Tribolium castaneum: one gene and its partner. The protein of the gene in region 2 purifies or fractionates together with the protein of the main gene of each other region. This does not show direct contact. Links are inferred from orthologs where the notes say so. Each region holds a gene or a part of one and is shown on either strand. Other genes may lie near its edges.

The links.
Region 1: the proteins of Mcm6 (region 2) and Cdc45 purify together in Drosophila melanogaster (affinity purification with western blotting; 3 studies listed by BioGRID, with this or other methods). This does not show direct contact. The link is inferred for Tribolium castaneum from reciprocal best matches to the Drosophila melanogaster genes Mcm6 and Cdc45.

Annotation. Positions count from the first base shown.
Region 1 is NC_087401.1:7,771,914-7,782,785, forward strand, and holds Cdc45 (cell division control protein 45 homolog), read right to left. Parts: upstream 8,856-10,872; 5' UTR 8,711-8,855; coding exon 8,660-8,710; intron 8,615-8,659; coding exon 8,255-8,614; intron 8,207-8,254; coding exon 8,030-8,206; intron 7,976-8,029; coding exon 7,620-7,975; intron 5,061-7,619; coding exon 4,856-5,060; intron 4,809-4,855; coding exon 4,617-4,808; intron 4,567-4,616; coding exon 4,367-4,566; intron 1,563-4,366; coding exon 1,486-1,562; intron 1,438-1,485; coding exon 1,370-1,437; 3' UTR 1,273-1,369; downstream 1-1,272. Other genes in the region: nucleoredoxin, read left to right, coding at 855-1,225; probable 18S rRNA (guanine-N(7))-methyltransferase, read left to right, coding at 9,068-9,103, 9,150-9,187, 9,240-9,612, 9,663-9,873.
Region 2 is NC_087400.1:6,010,819-6,023,435, reverse strand, and holds the start of Mcm6 (DNA replication licensing factor Mcm6), read left to right. Parts: upstream 1-5,379; 5' UTR 5,380-5,488; coding exon 5,489-5,580; intron 5,581-5,637; coding exon 5,638-6,046; intron 6,047-6,098; coding exon 6,099-6,290; intron 6,291-6,390; coding exon 6,391-6,820; intron 6,821-9,735; coding exon 9,736-10,892; intron 10,893-10,939; coding exon 10,940-11,041; 3' UTR 11,042-12,617. Other genes in the region: uncharacterized protein LOC103313261, read left to right, coding at 2,885-2,970. UniProt on the Drosophila melanogaster protein: Acts as a component of the Mcm2-7 complex (Mcm complex) which is the putative replicative helicase essential for 'once per cell cycle' DNA replication initiation and elongation in eukaryotic cells.

The DNA of each region.
Region 1 (10,872 bases), on a different chromosome or scaffold from region 2:
CTAAAAAAAAATATCCAATTTGTTTACGATTTTCATTCAAACAGTTCAAAATTCAATGGCAGACTAAGCGAGTTACTTTACAGCACTAAGTTATAATAAACTATAATTAAATATTATAATTTTACTACTTATTCGATAATGAACCTCACCTAAAAACTAAATAAGATATTGAAGTTTGACAATTGTTGACCATTTTGCAAGGTCTACTTGATTAACTATGAAAATTACCAACTAAAATCCGTTTTTTGTGATTTTTTCAAAAACGGTAAGACATAGGTATCGGACGCATTGATAAAAGTCACAGTCAGGACGTGCCATTTGAAAAATTAAGATATAGCAGTTTTTTGATAACCATTGTGGAAAGATCCTACTAGCCATGAATTTTGACAGTCGACAATTTTGAAAAATCTAGAAGACTCTTCAGACCTTCACTTATCGCAAAGGGTTCAAGGGCTGTGATATTTGAGATAAACATTTGCAAAAAAAATGTTAACAAAAAAATTTACATATATGTCAAAAACTATAACAGATAAGTAAGTACAAACAACTTGGGTAAATTTTACTCAGCTTGAGAGGGTAAATTCAAGTATGCAATAAAAATGTGTGGTTACTATTTAAAATTTTAAACTTGGCGCCATTTTTTGTAGATGAGAAAGCTCAACTACTTCGGAAATATTTAGTTGAACTCAGATTGGATCGTATGCAAAATTTTTAAACTCCAGCTATATTAGAAGTTAAAAAATTTGTAATGTAGGCCCTAAAAGATTCATCCTGTATATAATGTTCACTCGTATGTTAAGAACAGTAATTTTTTAACAATTATTTTTATCTTTTTACAAACTTTTATTTCCCAGACGGCGAAGAGACCGAACTCCAGTTCGCAGAATCGGTCCTGTCCCCAGCCGCCGACTCCTACTACAAGAAGCACAACATCAACTTCAACTCAGCCCCTGAGGACTTCTTCTCCAACTGCGAGGACGACCACTACCTCCAGTTCCTCATCGGGCTCGACTCCGAAACCAGCGACATTCTCCGCGACTTGATCGGTCTCGATGACGTGGTGCCCCTCCTCGTTGGCATCGACATCCCCAACCGACGCTTCGCCGTCATGGAGTACGGCGTGGAAATCACCGTCGACTCCGTCAGCGACTTCGTCGAGCGCTTCCAAAAAGGCGAAGTGAAATTCATCGAATTGAACGAACGAGTGGGAGAGGAACAGAGTTAGGTGGTGTAAGGTGTAGCAGTGTAGATGAGTTAATCAAAAGTGTACAGTTTGTTGTTTTGTAGCATTTAATTACCTATAAAATAGTGTCAATTCACACAATTATATACAATTGAAAAATAAATAAAAAAAATTATTTACACTATTTTATTTGTCGAAAAGTGCAGTCAATGCGTCAAAAAACCTCGTCCTGTCCTTGATATTAATCTCAAAATCTGAAAAAATCCACTACTTTCGACAAACAAACAAAAAAATTAACTTACAAGAAGTGTCAAAATAATCCGACAAGACTTCATAATTTATATTTTCAGCTGCTTCCTCAAAGGCCCGGCCTAAATTACTAAAATCACAATATAAAAATAAAATCACCAAATTGTACAGCTGCCTAAAAAGAAAACGACGCGTCCATAAAAAACCTTATTTCTTTGCGAATTAATGAAAAAAATTGAAGATTTATTTATTTCATTAAAGTTTTTGTTGCAAAATAAAATAAGTGACAATTAAAAAAAAGATCATTTCTTTTTGTTGTCGGTGTAGTATTTTCATTAAAGACTGAAAGATCACTTTGCTATCGGTTGTCCAAAAAATATTTTAAATTAAAAAATAATTATTATTTATAAAATCTCACTGCTACAAATTATACAGGCTGATTCTTTTGGGGCCGACATTATAAACTTTTTAACTTCTAATATAGCTAGAGCTTTAAGATTTTGTATACAATCTAAATCAATCGACCATTATGAGTTCAACAAAATTATTTTCAAAATGACAAAATTTCCGGAACTACAAGAAATTGGCGCCAACTTTGAAATTTGAAATAGTAACCACCTATTTTTATTGCATTTTTGAATTCGCTTCTTGAAACTGAGTAACATGTACCCAGTTGTTAGTACTTATCTGTCATAGTTTTTGACGTATGTCAATTTTTTTATACAAATTTTCATTTGCGGGGGTTCATTTAAAATATTACAGCTCGTGAACCCTTTACAATAAGTGAATAATCTTGCATTTGATAGCCAAAAGTTTAAAGAGTCTTTTTAAGTCTTTAGGATTACCAACTGTCAAATTGCAAGGCTAATATGATTTTTTAAAAAAGATGATTAAAAAATGATTATAAAAGAGTTTTTTTAATGAAATGATTGATGGCAGTCAAAAAAAACATCAATTGTTATGCAGACTTTTATTAACATCTTCTATATCTATGTCTTACAGTTTTTGAAATAATCGCAAAAAACTGAATTTTAGCTCATTATTTTCATGTTTAATCAAGTAAACTTTCGAAAAATACGACAAAATTGTGCTATTAATTAAAACAAATGTTCGATTTGTTCACCATTTTCGTTCAAGAAGTTCCAAATCCGATGGCAGACTGACTGAGTTACTTTTCAGTTTTGTTGCTTATTGGATAATGAACCAGCTAAAAACTAAATAAAATATTGAAGTTTGACAATTATTGACCATTTTACTGGTCTACTTGATTAACTATGAAAATTAAAAAGTAAAATCCGTTTTTGGGATTTTTTTCAAAAACTGTATGAAATAGGTATAGGACGGGTTGATAAAAGTCACCATAAATATGGATATTCTTTCGATTGCCATTAAAAAAAGGGGGTCGTTCGAGTTGAAAAAACAGAGTTAATAGCAGTTTTTTGAGAACCATTTTGAAAAATCATACTAGCCATGAATTTTGACAGTTGACAATTTCGAAAATTCTAGAAAGCTCTGCAAACCTTCGGTTATCAATTGCAAAAAAATTATTCACTTTATCGCAAAGGGTTCAAGGGATGTGATTTCTTAGATAAACTCTTGCAAATAAAAATTTTAACAAAAAAATTGACATATATCGAAAACTATAACAGGTAAGTACCAACAACTTGGGTAAATTTTACTCAGCTTGAGAAGGTGAATTCAGATATGCAATAAGAATGTGTGGTTACTATTTAAAAATTTCAAACTTGGCGTCAATTTTTTGTAGTTCCGAAAGCATTTTGGCATTTTGAAACCAATTTAGTTGAACTCAGAATGGTCGATTTAAATGATATACAAAATTTTAAAGCTCTAACTGTATTAAAAGTTGAAAAATATCCATAAAACTGTCCATAAATTGTTCATAAAACAAAATAGAAAACAAAATTATAGTAATACAATTGTATTTCAAATTTCACGTAAAGATGTCTGTACTTTTAATCGTTTTAATTATTAACCACAAAAAAGGTTTTATTAAAATTTTTGTTTATTAAATGTTTCAATTAGTGTAACCAGAATAAAAAAGTTATCAATGAACATTAAAGTATTTCATTTATGGAAATACCATGATTAAAATTTTGACCATTACTGCAAATAAGGTTCACTGGAAATATTTAACAACACCTACACAAGACCACAGTCACCACAAGAGATAACTTAAGACCAAATTTTTCCAATTCTTCTTCAAACTGATAACCATTTATAATTTTTTTTAAAACAAATGAAAGATTAAAAAAAATCAAGTTTGTCACGACGTTTTGACCCTTTAAGAGGGCAGAAAAATTGTCGATTTGTTTGCAAATTTAAATTATTAGTTCATTAATGCAAAATAAGTTCAAGAGTCGGTTTACAGAACATTTTAATTGCAATAAAAATTTTTCTGAGATTAACTTTACATTTGTCAATCTATTTTCAGTGGCAACTTAATGTCGAATTAGTTTTATTCCGAATTAAGTTTTAATTTCGCTTTCTGTAAAGTTAACCGGTTCTAAATGCCCAATTATTATTTCATTTTATTTACAATACCATTTCCAATTCATAAATTATTTAAGTAGTTAAATTGTCACTGCATTTTGTATCTGTTTAATTTTTATAAGTTGTTGAATTCAAAAAAGCGAACCCACAAAAAATAATCTCTTTTTTAAATTGAATTGCCACAAATTTTTTGGAAATGAAAAATTATAACTTTAAGAAAACTTGAAGCTTTAAAACTTTGCTTTAAGATTTTCGAACTCAATCCTTTCTTAATTTTTTTCTTTCCGCGATAAATCAATTATTTTGCAACAAAACCTTTTACTTTAAAAAACATATTAAACAGCAAATTAAAGGATTTATGATGGGATTGGTTTATGGTCGCGTCATTTTCTTTTTGGGCGGCTGTACGTTTAGTTTAGTTACTTTTTGGGTGAATTTTGCCTCAGCGGTGGAATCCCCAAAATAACACACGTCCCTAAATCTAGATTTTTTGGTGCTGAAATAATTAAAGGCAAGTCAGGGGCTTTACGATTCCGTGACATTGACACATAAGCCCGTAATATAAATTGTGCCAACAATAACAAAATATATTGGTTTGAAAACATATACCAGTCTAAACAACCCTATAAAACAAAAATTAAAATCAAACAACTTGACTAACAATTCAACTCACTTCTTGTATGATGTAATAAACAAAATTCCCGGCTGTGATAATTTGTTTCATATCAATGGCCGCTTGTACAGTCTTAAAAATCGTCTTTGTGATTATCTTTGCACGTTCTATTGCTTTTTGTACTACGTCTTTTTTATTACGAGTGAGGCAATCAAGTGCCGAATTAAAACACTCTTCTGGCGTTTCCTTCGGCTAAAAACAGCTATTTATGTGAGAGAATTATCAAAATGATAAATCACCGATGACTCCAAAATTGCAAACATGGCGTACACAATGTCAGACGCACAATATTTATTCCGGTAGCCATATTGTAACACAAATGAGGTAAAAACTAAATCTTCTAAGTTGTATTTTTCCGATAATTTTTCAATACTTTGGTGGAATTCTTTACGTAGTTGGAGATCCATTGATTCGAACGCCTGCTGGCTCTGCGATAAGGGCAACCTGCAAGTTGAGAATGAGCCCACCTTGTTGCCGCCACCCACCTTGGATCTTTTTTAAGGGAGAATCATTGAAAAGTATAAGCATGAGCTTTATAAATAAAATTAAACATAATTTATAAGCCGTTTGACTTATTAAGTATGTCTTACCTTTTTGGCACATCCTTGATTTTTTTAAGTAAAAATAATTTTAAATATTATGTACAAGGTGCGGCATTTCGGATGTGGTATCTCCGAAACTAAGAAGTTTAGAGAAAAAATATTGACACATTCTCGGGTCCGTTTTTTGAGAAAATAATTTTGGTAAAAACCGAATCCCGCTATCGTCTTTTGTTTTCAATTTATAAACAAAAGTTGACATTTTAGTGAAATCTTTAAAAATCATATCTTCCTTATTATAAAAGATACACATTTAAAGCAAAAACATTATACAGGCACAGAGAATCTAATAATGTTATCAGCGATTTTTGTAAACCTTTCGTTTAGCTGTAATAACTTAAAATTGTATGTTTTTAAATAGAAATCATAGTTGGCTGACATTTTCGAAAAGCTTATGTTTTTCTGAACTTAAAACAATATAAATACAGTTTGATACTTTTACATACTTTTGATAAAAAATAAATTTAAAATATTTAAAAGTAGTTGGTCATGGAAAAATTATTTTACATAGAAGGTGTAAATAAACTAGAAATTTTGTGAACGGTTATTAAAGTAAAAAATGTGAAATTATCAAAATAAGCTATGTTAAAGTTATTTTCAATTAAACAAATATACGATCGTCGCAGATTTTAATTACATAAAAAATGTGAAGAAAATTAAAAATATGTCACTACCATTTGATGACACTTTTTTATGATTTAGTGAAGTGGAATGGAACAAATAATACACAATTTCGCATCCTACAAATCACCATTTCATACTAGTTTCTACGGAAGATCATTGACTTGAAAGCTGGTAGTAAGACGATCTTTTAACTTTAATTTCTTATATTATTTTATGTTTCTTAAATAAAAGAAATTGTCCGAAATCAAATATTTCTTAACTGGTTTAATTTAAATTTAAATGTTCATTTAATAACTCGTTTACTTAGTAACTATTTATTATTTATTATTAATATTAAAAGGTTTGTAATCAATTGTGGTGATATTGTAGTTTTATGTATAATTTAAGCCTGATGAAGTTTATTATACATATAAACGAAACGTTGCAACTCGACGTTTTAATTAAAACCTTTTATGGAAGCTGTCCTAACGTCGGTAAATTTTATTCCAATTATTAATAATTATTAGTTAACTGAATTAATCAGCATTAGTGTCGTTTTGTGTAAAAAAACATCGTTAATCCCAAAAAAATAAAAAATAAAATAATTGTTATTTTTGGGGCCAGTAAATTTTTAGGTATACTTTTTGTAAAAGAAATGACAAAATTTTAATTATTAATTAATAGTGATTTTATATTTTATTTAATATTTATTACAAAGAATTACAAGAAAAGAATTTTTGACAACGTTGGCACATAGCATTTATTTAAAATTACTATTTTTACCTTTATACAGGGTATATCAGAAATATGTGTCTTAATTTTAACGGGTAACAGAACTCAACAAATAAAACATCTTTTCATTTGTAAATTTTCAATAAAAAATTCACAAATTTACTTAAGAGCCGAACTATTTTCGTTGTAATAAAAACGGACAATTTAAACAATTTAAAACAATGAAAATTACTGCTATGAATACAAACTAATTATTAAACACTGACCGGCTCGTTTGCACTAAAGAAAAGAGGAAAACAGTGAAAATTGTAAATAAGAATTTTGTAAAATGTGATATAGAAAAGTTGTTGTACTTGATGAGTTTTCTTAAGTTGCAGTATTGCTGTATTTCATGAGTTTTATTACGTGGTAAAATTAACACGTATTTCTGATATACCCTGTATGTAAGCAATTCCTTATGTCTCACACACCACTGAGTTGGTGCGCCGGTTTTAGAACACCCGGTATACAGAGCACACCTGTAATGCACTTTAAACTTGTTAACTGAGATAAACTCGCTTTGGTCACCTTAGAGATAAAGAAAAAACTTTCAATTTTTTTTTTAGTTTCAATGAAGTTTTTTAGTTTCTTTTTAGGTGAAATAAACAAACGCTTTGCAACTAACTTTTCTAATAATAATTTCTAATAAGAATAATAATTAGTTTTTAGTTTTTAAATACAGTAAAAATAAACTTTTAGTAGGTTCACTGTATACTTTTTAAATATTTTTTTTTAAGTAAAAAATAAAATTTTGCACAAACAAATTGATTTAAACTTCAATACGTCCAAAAAAATACAATCACTCGACACTCCTTTATACAGAGTATTTCAAGCAATCAAACCCTATCTGACAAAGTTTATCTTAAAAAAAACGCAAGCTGAATTGAGCTGAGCCTGTCAACGCCGTGGAAATTATACGAGTAAATAATAATTTCATTAAAAAATAGCTTCACAATTGATTCATCCAAAGACTCATAAGCCACAATATACAGGGTGTTTAAAAAATAAATAAAAATCAACGGCTACTTACCCCATATCGGCCAGCAACTCGTACAATTTCTTGCTCCCTCTATGCGACCACAACTTCAATTTGCACGCCGTAAACATTGAATACTTAAGACTAGACTCAACCGACCAATGTCTGTACAGAACTAATTTCAAATCGTTCTCATATGTGATTCTAAGTGAAGTTAAACCGTCGGTATCATTCGATCTGTTCCTTAATCGGTTTGAATGCGACTGTAATTCCCCAACTGCAAGAACATATTGCGAATTTTCAATTTTGCCTAAAATGTACTGTTCTGTCAGCGCCACGATTGCCAACCAAAGCAAGTCCTTATCGTCCTTATTCAAAAACCACGCGAGTTTAAACATCGCGATCGCGCTCTGGAGAAAAAATCAGTGTCACCAACTTAATTTCAAAATCGACTAAAAACTTACAGCCTTGTTGTAGTACGTGTATTGCGAGTATTCCGCAATGATATCGAAACGTTTCGCTTCCCAAAGCCTGCGTTCGCGTCGTTTTAGAATCGCTTCTTCGTTCAATCTCCGTTTTTTGGCAGCTCTTCCCTCATCTTCGTCCCCACTTTCGGGTTCTTCGTCGCTTTCTTCATCGCTCTGTAATCACACGATAAAAAAATCGACCGTAAGAAGGGGGCCACTGACATCGTCACGATAAACTGCGTGAAAGTCGGGCACTTCTAAGTCCTCCTCTGAGGTCCACAACAACCGGACCTGCCCGTCACTGTAAATGTTATCCAAATGTGTGGGCCTGTGCGAGTCGATGATGAAAAAAATCGCGTCTTCTTCCGGCTCGAACAAGTCGACTAGGTTCACAGTGCCCCCACAATTAATCAAGACGAAATATTTAACGTCGTTGCTGTTTTCACGATACGAGCGCTTCAGGTCCTCGACGCCTCGGATTACGGCAAGGGTGTAGAGAATCTCCTTGTACTTTAGGAGGTTTTGGAGGATTTTACACGCACAAATGCTGTCGATGTCGTAGTGGACCATTAACAAAATGCGCTAAAAGGGGCAGCTAAGTGGGCGACAATTAAAAGGGGGACTTACTTTGCCTGTGAGAAATTCGTAAAAATCCAATTTTAAATTCTCAACGTACATTTTAAACACAATTTGAAATCCGACAATGGGGCATCATAACCTCCAAAGCGCCAAAACAAACCGTTGGTGGGCAAGGTGGAGGGGCAGCCGTACCAACATAAAACTATTTTTGCGTTTCTAATTTATTTAGACGAATGGAATTGAACGCTATTCAATTACTATCACCCAAAATACCATGAGTAACACAATAGATGGCAGATTGTAATTACTACACAAACGTTCGGGTCGGAGTTCGTGAAATTAAAACAGACAAATTCCCTAGTGGTCATTTTCACCCTAACTAACCTCAATTCTGATTACTTTTTAATCCTAAGATAGCACATGTGTTGTTATTGTTTTGGTCCTAAATAAACACCAATGTCGCGTCCTGAGCACTTGGCGCCACCCGAAATCGTAAGTACGCCCCCAATTCTGACCCTAAACCTAACCTAACTTTTAGTTTTACAACGAAGATGAGGCCCGGAAGTACACTCAAAAGTATAGAAACGGCCGCTTTTTTGCAATTTTTACTCATTGTGACTCGTTTTAGTTCTCGAATTATTGATATTCAAATGCAGATGAGTGAGCGTGCAGTTGAGCTCCTTTTGTTGCCTGAAGACCAGCCGTGTTATTTGCTTGATATAGGTTGCGGGTCGGGGCTTAGCGGGAGCGTCCTTGAGGATCAGGGGCACTTCTGGGTCGGTATGGACATATCCAAGGCCATGTTAGATGTGGCCCTTGAAAGGGAGGTCGAGGGGGACGTTTTGTTGTCAGACATGGGGCAAGGGTGCCCCTTTCGGGCCGGGTCGTTCGATGGCGCGATTAGCATAAGCGCGTTGCAGTGGTTGTGCAATGCTGATAAAAAGTCGCACAATCCCGTTCAAAGGATTTACAAGTTTTTTAGCAGTCTTTATGCGTGTCTGGTTTGTGTTTGGTTAATTGTGAGAGGTTTTTTGTCATGTTGGGGTTCTAGAGCCGGTCAGCACGGGCCGTTTTTCAGTTTTATCCCGAAAATAGCGAACAAATGGAGTTGGTTACGGCACAAGCAATGAAAGCGGGGTTTTATGGCGGGGTTGTTGTTGATTTTCCGAATTCAACTAAAGCGAAAAAGTTTTTTTTGGTCTTGATGACAGGGGGAAATATGCCGTTGCCGAAGGGATTGGGGACAGAGGAGGAATCACAAGGTGGGTTACAGAATTAATTTTGGTTAAAAGTGGAATGGTTATGGAAAAAAAAAGGTTTTCAGCAGGATTCGAACCTGCGATTTTTAGAGTTTCTGATTTATATTGGCTTCTTTTTGCCTCCAACACTCGTGAGATTTTTTTATAAATAAACAAACTAATAAAAAATCAGATTGGAATTTCAACTTGTCCAATTGACTAACAATTCCAAAAAAAAAAACACGTAAAAAAGTAAATGTCTGAGTTGTTAGCGATAATAAAGCACTTGAAATTAGTTGTATAAGCTGTTTCAAAACTATAAAAAGGCCAACGTCGCATTTTACCAAATAATTTTTTCAAATAAGATTGATAAAATTGTAAAATAGTTATTAATGGTTTGGTGTGTGATTGAAAGTGTAAATTACATAAGCTATTATTTTTTTGAAGTGCATTATTAATTTATAACAGCTAATTTTGAGAAAAAATGCGACGTTGGCGTTTTTATTGTTTTGAAACAGCTAATAGTCACAGTTATTAAAAAAAGTTCTCAGCACAGGGTTTGAACCTGTGATTTTTGTTTTTGTATTTTATTAGTTTCTTTTTGCCTCCAACACTCATGAGAATTAAATTTTATCAAGAAACAACCTAATTAAAAAAACAGACTGGAATACGAACTTGTCCAATTAATTAACAATTCCAAAAAAAAAATTTTTTAAACAGGTAAAAAAAGTAAAAGTTTGAGTTGTTATAATAATAATTTTGATTGAAATTGATATAAAACACCGATAGTAAAGCACTTGGATTTGTTGTAGACACAGTTATTGAAAAAAAAAGTTCTCAGCGGGATTCGAACCTGGGATTTTTTTGATTTTCTTATTTATATTGGCTTTTTTATGCCTCCTACACCTATAAGAATTAAGTTTCGTCAAGAAACACGCTAATTAAAAAAATCAGTCTGGAATTACAACTTGTCTAATTAATTAACAATTCCAAAAAAATTGAAAAAACAGGTAAAAAAGTCAA
Region 2 (12,617 bases):
GCATCTGGAGATGATCGGAAAGCTAGGGGATTAGCGGTTTGTTTGGATTTGGGGAACTAATTTTGGACGGTGGCGGAGGTTTATACAAACAGAATTAGCGGCGGATGGGTTTGAAAGGAATGTTTATGAGAGGTTTCAATAATATTTTTTTGTTTGGGAGGTTTATAAAACATGTTTTGTTTAAATTAAAATTCGGAAAAATTGTGGAAAAATAATTAAAGCTGCATTACAGCAAATCGAGTATAAATTTATTCATCCCAGCGATTTTACGTCGAAAATACACGACACTACAGGGTGATTAAGTTATTAACTTCTAATGCAACTAGAGCTCTAAAATTTTGTTAACGATCTAAATCGACCATTTTGAGTTAAACTAAAATATTTTCAAAATGGCCGAGCTTTCAGAACTACAAAAATTTTAAATAGTAACCACACATTTTTATTGCATATTTGAATTCACCTTTTCAAGCTGAGTAAAATTTACCTCTTGTTGGTGTCAGTTTTTTTAAATTTTTATTTGCAAGGGTTTATCTAAAATATCACAGCCCTTGGACCTTTTGCAATAAGTGAATATTTTTTTGCATTCGATAACCGAAAGTTTGAAAAGTTTTCTAAAATTTTCATAATTGTCAGCTGTCAAAATTCATGGCTAGGATGATTTTTTCAAAATGGCTTTCAAAAAACTGCTATAATCAGTTTTTTCTAATGGAACGACCTTATTTTCTTGACGGCAATCGAAAGAATATTGATATTTATGGTGACTTTTATCAACACGTTCTATACCTATCTCTTACAGTTTTTGAAAAAAATCACAAAAAACGAATTTTACTTCGTAATTTTTATAGGTAATCAAGTAGACCTTGTAAAATGATTAATAATTGTCAAACTTCAATATTTTATTTAGTTTTTAGCTGGTTTAGTATTGAATAAGCAGTAACAAGTAACAAGAATATTTAATTATGGTTTATTATAACTAAGTGAATTATGTACAGTAACTCAGTCAGTCTGTCATCGAATTTTGAACTTCTTGAATAAAAATTGTGAACAAAAAGTATATTTCTTTTAATTAATAGCACAATTTTATCGTATTTTTCAAAAGTTTGCTTGATTAAAAATGAAAATAATGAGCCAAATTTCTGTTTTTTGCGATTATTTTAAATACTGTAAGCGGTAGATATAGAAGATGTTAACAAGAGTCAGCATAAAAATTGATGTTCTTTTAATTGTCATCGAAAAAACAAAGCCCTTTCATTTAAAAAAACTGTTTTATAACTATTTTTTAATTATCATTTTCAAAAAATCATAGTAGCCTTGAAATTTGACAGGTGACACCTTTTGAAATTTTTGTATTTGCTTTCTTTATTGTTCGAGTAGTTTTGTTTTTTAATTTTTATAGTATTATGTAATGCAAAGTTATCATAATTAGTACTTAATTTTATATTTTCTTTGCAAAAATTAGAATTTATCTGAAGTAAATGATCAAAATTGCTTTGAATAACTGTATTTTGTGTATTATTTATTTTTTTAAATTATAGTTTTGTTTTACCTCAAAAAATAATCTTTTTTTTTAAATTATTACTCGAAGGAAAATTTGTTTTTGATAAATATTACTTATAATATAAATTCCATGTTGTGAGTTAATTATTTTGGAAATTTGGCTGACAATCTCAAAAAATTTGTCACAAATTCCTTCTCTTCCAATTGGCGCTTTTAGTTTATTTGAAAAAAATTCCAAAATTTTTTATCTAAAATTTTTTTTGTGTTTTTAAAAATTAATCTTAATGAAAAATTGCAACATTAATTTGAATCCGTCAAGTTTTTTCCACACTTGAATTTATTTCGCTTATATTGGAAATTTACTATAAAAAATTATCTAAAAGAAAAACCTAAAGTAATAATTTGTTTCTTTTGAGTTAATGTCTGTTCCAAGTTCAATATTCAGTATTTGTCTAGATTTAAATAAGTGACAATTTATCAGCGTGACAGAAAAATAAAAAAAATATATTTTTAATCTCCTCTAATTCATTCTCAAAACTGGGATCTAATTGTTATTGTCGGTAACGTATTTTTAAATATATGCGCTATCTTGAAAGCAATTTATCCTTGAAAAAAATATATTTAACTTTAAAAAAACACAGGTGTCGTAAAAGTAAAATAAATAAATCACTCTGATTTCACTAAAATAATGCAATTTAACGTAAGTATTTATTTTAACAATTTATATCGGTTCCAAACTGCTATGGAAGTGCGCTTGAAAAAATTCTAAAGTTTTACCAATGTATACACTTGAAAAAGTACTACTAACTGATTTTTTACCATATGCTACTTATTTATTTCAGTTATGATCAAATATACAGTGTGAGTCAATAGTGTTTTTTTTAACTCCTATAAATATGCAATCATTAATACCGATTTCAACTGTCCAGATCGATAGTCGTTAAAAAAAATAAATTTGATCTAAAATTACATTGTTCTAGGTAGTTTTAAGTTTGTCCTGACAGTTTTGCTAAAATTTCATTATGGATTATTATTATTAAAAAAAAGAAACTAGTGACGATTTAATTAATTCCAAGTGGTAAGTGCAATTAGTATTTTTGGTTGCATCTTAGGACACATCAGAAGTAACCTACTATTGACTCACCCTGTAGTTAAAGTTTTGAAACAAAAAAATGAAAATATGTGGGGAATGTTTTGCTCAAATCCATAATTCACAATTTTTATATTTTATCGGAACCGAAATAGTACCTTGTTTATGAAACATCCTTCCTTATGCAATATTTTAATATTTATTGGTCGTTCGTTACAGTTACGTATGCATTACACCCAGCAAATTTAACACCTTGTTGACAATATTTTTTATGACTTTGCCAAATGCTTGTTTCAGTTCGCAAAGAAAATGAAGAACTAATGAACTCCTTCGACGACCCAAACCACCTTCAAAACTTAACCGTCCCTGTCGCTTTGAAATGAGAAACTTTCTGCCGACCCCGACTTTTCGACCCATTGCCACCGAAATATCAAAAAAAAAAGACTGAACACACCCGTCAAAAGCTCAAAGTCCCTTTCGCTCTTTGTCAGTTTGTTTAGAATCTGTGTTAAATGAATATCAGCTCAATGGTCATAAGAAGTCCCGCAGTTCATCGCCGATTTGAGCGCTCAGTCTTGTCAATTAGATCACTTTCGACGGTGAAAAATCGGACTTCTTAAGTGTATATTTAGTGTTAGGTAGTTGAAAAAACAAACATTTTTATATAAAGTGCGAAGTGAAAATAGTCGTTTGATGAATGTTAGGTTTATTTAGTAAGTCATGGCAGGGTATATTCGAAGACTAACTGTTTGAACTAAGCAATTAGGCGAAAATAGATCACACTGAGGGATTCCTACATCATCAATTTTGTTCCACCCTGTAATCAAACAATTAAGACAATCAAACTAATCAAACTATATTTGAAATTGGCGCCGTGTGACGCACACGCATCCTAAATGATTTACTAAAAACTTACTACTTAAAAAAATATTAAATTATACTTAGATTCATGAATGTGATACCTAAACCCTCCATATCGCACAATGTCACATATTTATGGGTCTAGTGAGTTGTTGACGTAATATTAATAAAATTATCAACGTTGTTTGTAAGTAGACAATCAAAATTAAGGTTCAGATATATTTGTATGTTGTTCGAGCAATGTTGTATCAATAAATAACAATAACACGAGGACTATGTTTAATAATTATTTACAATAGGATTTGTTAACATTTTTAATGTAACTCAGTGTAAAGTTTATTAAATAAAGGTTTACCAAAACGTGCCTGTTTTAATTATTTATACAGAGTGTCCGTTTTTCGACCTCCATCTGTTATTATAAGAATACGAGGTTTATAATTATTATTAATTTTTTTATAATTAAACAAAACAGAAATTTTTAATTTTAATTTTTTCAAGGGAAAGCTAAAAACTAGACGTTTTTAAATAGGAAGTTCCAAGGCGTTCTTCCTGACTGCGTTTCAAACACTCAACTTTGGTTTTTCTTGGAAAGGTATATTCGATTTTTGTATTTTTGAAAAGTCTTTTTATTTCTGATTACAACGATGTATCACATGATATGATCGAATTTTACATGGTGATCAAAATGGAGAAAAAAAGCTTTTTTGCGAAGAGTGCTTTGGGGAAGACGTCAACAATTTTGTTTTTAAGCTAACTAGATTTTAGAGGTTTAATTCAATTTGGATCTGAAAGTTTCACATTTCCGCCAAGCTTACTTATTTAAAAACTAAGACATGATAAGCTACAATTTTACTCCTAAAGTTATAAATACTTTGCTCGCATGTTTGATAGAACTGTCAAAATATAGTTTGTTAAACATCATTCTTGACGTTTTTTCCAAAGCACTCTTTGCAAAAACGCTTTTTTCTTAATTTTAATTATCATGTAAGATTCATTCATATTATGTAATACATCGTTGTAATCAGGAATAAAAAAAACTTTTCACAAATACAAATGTTAAAAATGGTGTTTATAAGAAAAATCAAAGCAATTGGCTTTGAGAAAATCGCAAAATTACCACTAGTTTTTTAGAGTTATAATTTTTTTAATTTTATCTATTTCTGCCTTTATTTGGAATTTTCTTGAAAATTATTAGCCAAAGAACAATGTTTTTTTTTTAAAAGATAGATAATTGTAAGAGCTTTCCAACGCTAATAAACTTCCATAAGGTTATCTCGAATAGTTCGAAAGTTACTACATGAAAAATATTTTCGTTTTCCGACAAAAATCTCGAAAAAATGGGAAAAAAACTTTAAAATATCGAACCTATTGACTTTTTTGTACTTTCAACAACTCCGTGGGTTATGTAAAGGCATAGAAAAGTTTATAAAATTTTGCTAGTGAGTTAATTTTTTTTAATTTTTGAAAAGGTAAGTGCCTCGATTATTAAATTTTAAGCAGAAAATTTCAAAATATTGTGAAAAGCTGGTAGAATACATAAAACCAGCCGTAGAATTCACTGAATCAAACCGTTTTGCTATACGACTTTTGTCTTTATGATCAAAATCCAGAACAGCTTTGAATTTTGACGAAAAAATAGATTATTGTAAGCGATATCTGATTTTGCTCTAGATTTTATAAAAAAAAAGCAAAAAAAAGTTTCCCATTTTCATTTTTTTAATAAGCGTTTTTTTCCTTCGTGATTGATAAATTAGTGCAAACTGAGAGAAAGAAATGTAATCTAAATAGATAATTACCGTTCGAAATTCTTGAATATTTATGATAGAGTGGCGGTTTCAGACCATAAGTTAAATTTTCCGCTAATTTGGTAGTTTGAAAAACATTTCGCTAGAGGCCGCTTTGTTAGTTACTTCCATCGGTAACAGAGATACCCGTCTGGCGGGTAAAAATGTATGGTTATGTTCGTAGTCACTTTCCCGCCTTTTTTGCGTTATTGTTTACTCTGTTTTTCCCGAATTTTTCGTTCTAAATCGCTAAAACATGGATGTAGCCAACGTCCAGGTCGGCCAGAGGCAACACCAGGATGAAATCGGTGTCAGGTGCCAGAAATTATTCCAGGATTTCTTAGAAGAGTAAGTACCCCCTTACCAACCCCCCAATTGGTATTATCACACATGAGGCGCCCCCAGATTTAAAGAGGACGGCGAAATCAAGTATTTGGAGCCGGCTAAGGAGCTCCTCAACCAAGAGCGCAGCACTATTGAAGTCAGTTTTGAAGATTTAGAGAAATATAACCAAAATCTTGCAACGACCGTTATCGAGGAGTATTACCGGATTTACCCTTATCTTTGCCAAGCCGTCTCTAATTTCGTTAAAGACCGCAGCGATTTGAAAAAAGATAAAGAGTGTTATATCAGCTTTGTTGATGTTCCAACAAGACACAAAGTACGAGAATTGAAAACTGAGAAAGTTGGGACTTTGATTCGGATCTCAGGACAGGTTATCAGGACTCACCCTGTACACCCTGAACTGATTTTGGGGACTTTCGTCTGTTTGGATTGCCAAACTGTCATTAAAGATGTTGAGCAACAATTTAAGGTAGATTTTTTTGTTTTTGTTTTAAGAGCTGTTTATTAATCTAAATTCACAGTTTACTAATCCGACGATTTGTCGCAACCCTGTTTGCAATAACAGGAGACGCTTTATGCTAGATGTGGACAAGTCCCTATTTGTGGACTTCCAGAAAGTCCGGATACAGGAAACTCAAGCCGAGTTGCCAAGGGGGTGCATTCCGAGGTGTGTTGAGGTGATTTTAAGAGCCGAAAATGTGGAAACAGTCCAGGTAACAATTTTTCACCAAAAAATAAGTTGGCTACATTGATGGTCATGTCAGTCATTGTAGCCAACTTAATTTCATGTTACTAAACAAATGATTGAAAAAGGCCGGCGATCGTTATGACTTCACGGGGACTCTCATCGTGGTCCCGGACGTGGGGGCTTTGGCTCTTCCTGGGGCGAAGGCTCAGATCAACTCGCGTCACAAGGGTGGTGACGATACTGAAGGGGTTAGGGGTCTCAAAGCCCTAGGAGTGCGTGATCTTCATTACAGAATGGCGTTTCTCGCGTGTAGTGTTCAGCCCACTAACCCCAAATTTGGGGGTATTGAGATGCCTCTTAATGAGATTACTCCCGAAATTATGCGACAGCAGATGACAGAGGGCGAGTGGAATCACATGTATGAGATGAGCCACGACAGGAATTTGTATCAGAATCTCATCAATAGTTTATTTCCGAGTATTCACGGGAATGAGGAGGTCAAAAGGGGGATACTTTTGATGCTGTTTGGGGGAGTTTCCAAGACGACAGTTGAAGGTTGGTTTATTGCTAACTTTGTTCTAATCTGACTTGTCTTTATATCTTATGGACGCTAAGTGTTATTTCTTTTGCTAGAAAATTCTGAAAAAAATTAAATAACATTTACTATTTCTGTTGTTCTGAATGCAAAAAACTAGGAACAAAACAAGTCGAAACAACTCATTTCACAGATTATTTTTGCATAAGTTGAGGATTTTTTTATTAAGGGCAACAGTCCTTAAAAAATAAAAGAAGTCGCAGAAACTGTTGTCAACAAGTACAAAATTAAAACTTGTTCTTTTTGTTTCTATCAACAGAAAAGGACCAATTATTAAAAAAGACAGATTATTGTGAAAAAATTGGATTTTTTTTTAAATATCAACGATTCTTATTGAATAATATGTTAAATAAAAAAATAAGTTGAAAATTAAATTTTACAGCATTTTTGCAAGATTTTGTAACATTTTTACTTAACATTTCGCTAATATGTGAAATAAAATCAATAAAAAAAAAGACCAGTTATTAAATGAATGCTAGACTGCAGTTATTCCTGTAAGGAAAGTGGTTGTGTTACAAATATCACGTTGCATCTTAAATAAATACATATTTTTGCGCCTGTAAATGCAACCAGCAATACATCTAATATAAAGACTGCTCTAAATTTGTCAAATTGATATAATAATGAACTAAATAAGAATGAGGTAAAAAATGTTTATTAGAAAATGTAACGAATAGAGGAATTATTGGTTTTGAAATCAAATACAACACAAAAATCAATTTTTCTCACTTAACGGTAAATAACAAAAAAAAATACACTTACCTTTGTAGCATCTTTTTCTGTTGCAGTTTGTAGCAAGACATTAAAAATAAATTAAAAACAAAATAAACGCAAAAATGAGAAAACGAAATAATTATAATTCTGAATTAAACTAATTTGAATTAAGTTGACATTTATTTAACTTTAACTTTTCTAAAAATACTATTGCAGTATTCTATTTCATTAGCACACACTAACCGAAATCGGCACGCACTTTTCAACGATTTTGAAATTTTTAAACCGCAAAATTCTTTATTTATGTTATGAGGCGTCTGCATGCCACGACATCAAGTAACAAACTGAATAAGATTAAACGGCACAATAATAATTGTATAAAAATATGGATACAACGTTACAAAAAAAATCTGTGATATAAGAATTGTTACAAAGTGGGAAACAAACTGATTCATTGATCTTTATTACGATTACGTCATGTAACGTATTTTTGAATCGCTGAAATTCATTTCTGAAGCAAATAATTTCAGTCAACAGTTCGTAATTTCGTTATTCTGAAAAATACACTATTACAGAACCACCTCTAAGGAGAATTCTATCATTTGTAGTGTATTGAGACAAAATTCTATTTGTGCTTTCTGGAAATATTATGTCACGAAATTTTTTGGCTTTAAATATTTTTAACGATATTCTAGAATATTTGATAGGTTACTTAATAATGTCCGTTAATGCATCTTTACAAAAAGTAAATGTGTAATAGGTGGAAACTAATCACCAAAGAAACAAATATACAGGGTGTCCCAAGTTTTTTGGTCCGCGCAAAAATAAATATTTCTAGTTGAGTAAAAAATGATATTAATATGCCAAACGATGGAAAATTAATTACGCTGCAATATGATGATATGGTGTAGACTCACCTTACACAGGGTGGTGCATTTTCTACGTCCTAACTAAAGAGGTTTACAAAAAAAATGAGTGACATAATGTTATCAGCGCTTTTTTTTAATCACTCGTTTAGCTGTAATAACATAAAGTATTTTTTTAAATGAGAATCATAGTTGGCTATGACATTTTCGAAAAGCTTATTTTCTCCTGAACTGGAAACAATATAAATATAGTTTAATATTTTTATATATTTTCGATAAAAATTATATTTAAAATATTTGCAAGTAGTTGGCCATGGAAAAATTATTTCACACAAAAGGTGTGAATAATCTAGAAATTTTGTGGACGCTTATTAAAGTAAAACATGTGAAATTATCAAAATAAGCTATGTTAAAGTTAATTTCAATTAAACAAATATACGATCATCGCAGATTTTAATTACATAAAAAAGTGCAGAAAATTGAAAACGATGTGTCACTACCGTTTGTTGACACTTTTTTGTGGTTTAGTGTTTTTTTACCGCAGATGGGATTTGATTTTAGGGTTTGTATTGACATTTTTGGTAAAATAAAATTTTATTAACAGGCAGTTATATAATTAATGAGATTTTTCTTTTTCCGACATTTCATGTTTAATTAGAAAATAGAATGACAATATAAGCTTGCCATTTTAAATCTAACAACAAATAATTTTTATTAATTACAAATATTTTTTTAAATTAATTAGGATTTAAAAAATCATTAAATTATAAATACTTGTTTTAATTGAAAATCCAAAATTTTTTCATGGCCTACTATAAAGAGAAAACGAAATGTTTTGTTTTTTCTTAAATATTTAAAAATAATGTGTTACACAAATAGACGTATTTAATCAGAAAAAGATAAGCTTTTCAAAAATATCACAGCCGCCTATGATTCCTATTTAAAAAATTAAACGTTATGTTATTCTAGCTAAACGAATGGTTAAAAAAATCGCTGACAGCATTATTAAATTTTCTGTAAAAAAGTGCCTGCATAATGTCTGTGTTTCATATGTGTATCTTTCATAATAAGAAAGACATGAACTTTTTAAGATTTCAATTAAAAAAAAATCATATCTTCTTTATTATAAAAGATATACATTTTTTAAATAGAAATCATAGGCGGCTGTGATATTTTTGACACCCTGTACAGCTCTAGTTCCAAAAAAAAAACTGTTTTTGTGCTGTTCTGTTTGTGCACTTGTTCGGATTTCTATTATTTTAATAAAAAATAATCACTGTTAATAATAAATTAAGGGACAACCCTTCGGGGCGACATCAACTGCTGCATAGTGGGCGACCCCAGCACTGCCAAATCGCAATTTCTGAAACAAGTTTCGGAATTTTCCCCTCGTTCTGTCTACACTTCGGGCAAAGCCTCCTCGGCTGCAGGTCTCACAGCCGCTGTGGTGCGCGATGAAGAATCCTCCGATTTTGTGATCGAAGCTGGCGCTCTAATGCTTGCCGATAATGGCGTTTGCTGTATTGACGAATTCGACAAAATGGACCCACGTGACCAGATCGCGATCCACGAAGCCATGGAACAGCAAACGATCTCATTGGCCAAAGCCGGAGTGCGGGCCACGCTTAACGCCCGCACCTCCATCCTAGCTGCAGCCAATCCCATTGGAGGGCGCTACGATCGCGCCAAGTCGCTCCAACAGAACATCGCGCTAAGTGCGCCAATCATGTCCCGATTTGATTTGTTTTTTATCCTAGTTGATGAGTGTAATGAGGTGATTGATTATGCTATTGCGCGGAAGATTGTGGATTTGCACAGTAATGTGGAGGAGGCCCTCGACCGGATTTACTCAAAAGAGGAGGTTTTGCAGTATATTTCGTTCGTGCGGAGGTTTAAGCCAATCATAAGTCCCGAGGCTGCGGAGTTGCTTGTGAGGCACTACAACCATTTGAGGTTGAGGGACACCACAACTAGTGGTAAATCAACTTGGCGGATTACAGTACGCCAACTTGAAAGTATGATCCGATTGGCGGAAGCCATGGCCAAGATGGAGATTTCCGACGAAGTCCAACCAAAACACGTCAAGGAGGCGTACCGCCTACTTAATAAATCCATCATCAGGGTGGAACAACCCGATATACACCTCGACGAAGACGCAAATGCGCCAATGGTAGAGGACGACTCGGAAACCATGACTCAGGAAACTGAGCCGCAACCAATCAGGAAGAAGTTGCAGCTGAGTTTCGAGGATTACAAAGTTTTGAGTAACAAGATCGTGGTGTTTATGCGACGGGAGGAGGCGAGGAGGGATGAGGAGAACGAGGAGGGGATCAGGAGGAGTGATTTGGTGGAGTGGTACTTGAATCTGATTGCGGAGGATATTGAGTCCGAGGAGGAGTTGTTGGAGAAGAAGGAGTTGATTGAGAAAGTTATAGACCGGTTGATTTATCACGTGAGTTGGGTGGTTTGGGGTAATGTGGTTGTGATTGGTGGTTTTAGGATCAAGTTATTATTCCCTTGACGAGGACGGGGCTTGGGAGGGATCAGCAGGAGGAGGAGGATGCCATGTTGGTGGTTCATCCCAATTATATTATCGATTGAGTGTACCTATTTTTTTTAATAAAAGTTAAGTACTAATAAGTTTTTTAATAATTTGCCCCTTTTTAAGTTTTACTCCATAATTTTGGAAAAAAACAAACGAGAATAACTTACCAAGTGTTATCATTGGTAGACTATTTTTTTCTAGTATTTTATTTTAATTGGAAAACAGTTGATAATAAAGGGCTTTTTGATTTTACTTAAGCACCCAAACAGTAGTAACAGTTATTGTTAAATAATATTGCTTTTTTAATGGAGAGTACAAGAAGTTTTTTGAAACAAATGACAAATGACTAATTTTTAAAAACATCAATTGAATCAACATTGGTTTTTTATCTTCAGAACAATGTAATTGGGGATAAATTTTGAAATTTTTAAATGAGTACCGATCTGGTCAGCTGGAATCAGTATTATTGGTTGCATATTAACAAAAATTCAGAAATAACTCATTATTGACTCACCCTGTATAAACCCCTAAGATAATAAATTGTTCTCAATTTTTTTCGGGATACTTTTAGCGCACCCTTAGATGTTATTGTATTTATTTTGAAGGTTACTTATTTAATTTTTTTTAAGGCACTTTATTGCAGCAATTTTTTTGTATAAAAGATTATGCTCTAAAAATGACTTCTAATTTAATAATATTATTTTTCAATCAGTGTTTTTTTTAATAATTGATTTACATTGTGTTCCGAGCTTACTACGACGATTTTCCGAATTTGGCCGAAGAGATTTTTGAAAAACCTTGAGCTCGGAACACAACTTTAGTAATTCATTAAAATTACACAATTTTAAAAACAAAATTATTGATTTAGAGGTGATTTTTAGAGCATAATCTTTTACCAAAAAAAATCGCCGTAGTAGGGTGCCATTTGAAAAAAATATATTTTTTTGGATAACTCAAAAACTAAACGGAATTTCGAAAAAAAATTTTCTTGAAAAGTAATCACATTTTAAAAGTAGTTGATGATGTACTAATTATTTTTTTCGTAAGGTACATAGTTTAGGCAAAAAACGCTTGGTTCCATACTTTTGCCCAACCCTGTATAATAATAATTGACAGCATAAATAAAACTTAATAATAAAACGAGCTTAATAAAATTGATATTACAGGAAGCGCTGTTTTGTCATTTAATAATAATTAAATATTTTCAACAGTTTTACCCAAGGATGGAGGATGAATTTAAAAAAAAAACGCACAAAAAAATAAAATAAAGATAATTATATCTATTCATTGATATGAAATCTGTACGTTCACGGACTGAGTGTGCCGAAGGTCAAAAAGATGTTTTTTAGCCGAAACCAAAGTTTTATATTCTTTAAAAACAGGAAAAAAAGAAATTTTGAATAAAAAACCTTAAAAACCGTATAGAATCTTTCAAAAAATGTTTTGTGTGTAAGCAAAGATGTTTTTTTGTCCTAAAAAACATGGAAAACATTCTTTTTTTTTACTTTTAAACATTTCCTGCATAAAAGCCTTTTTTAATTTTATCTTTGTCAATTATAATAGTTGACACAGATAGATCAGCTTTGATCTCATTTATACATAACCATATATTACTTAATAGCTTTTTTATCA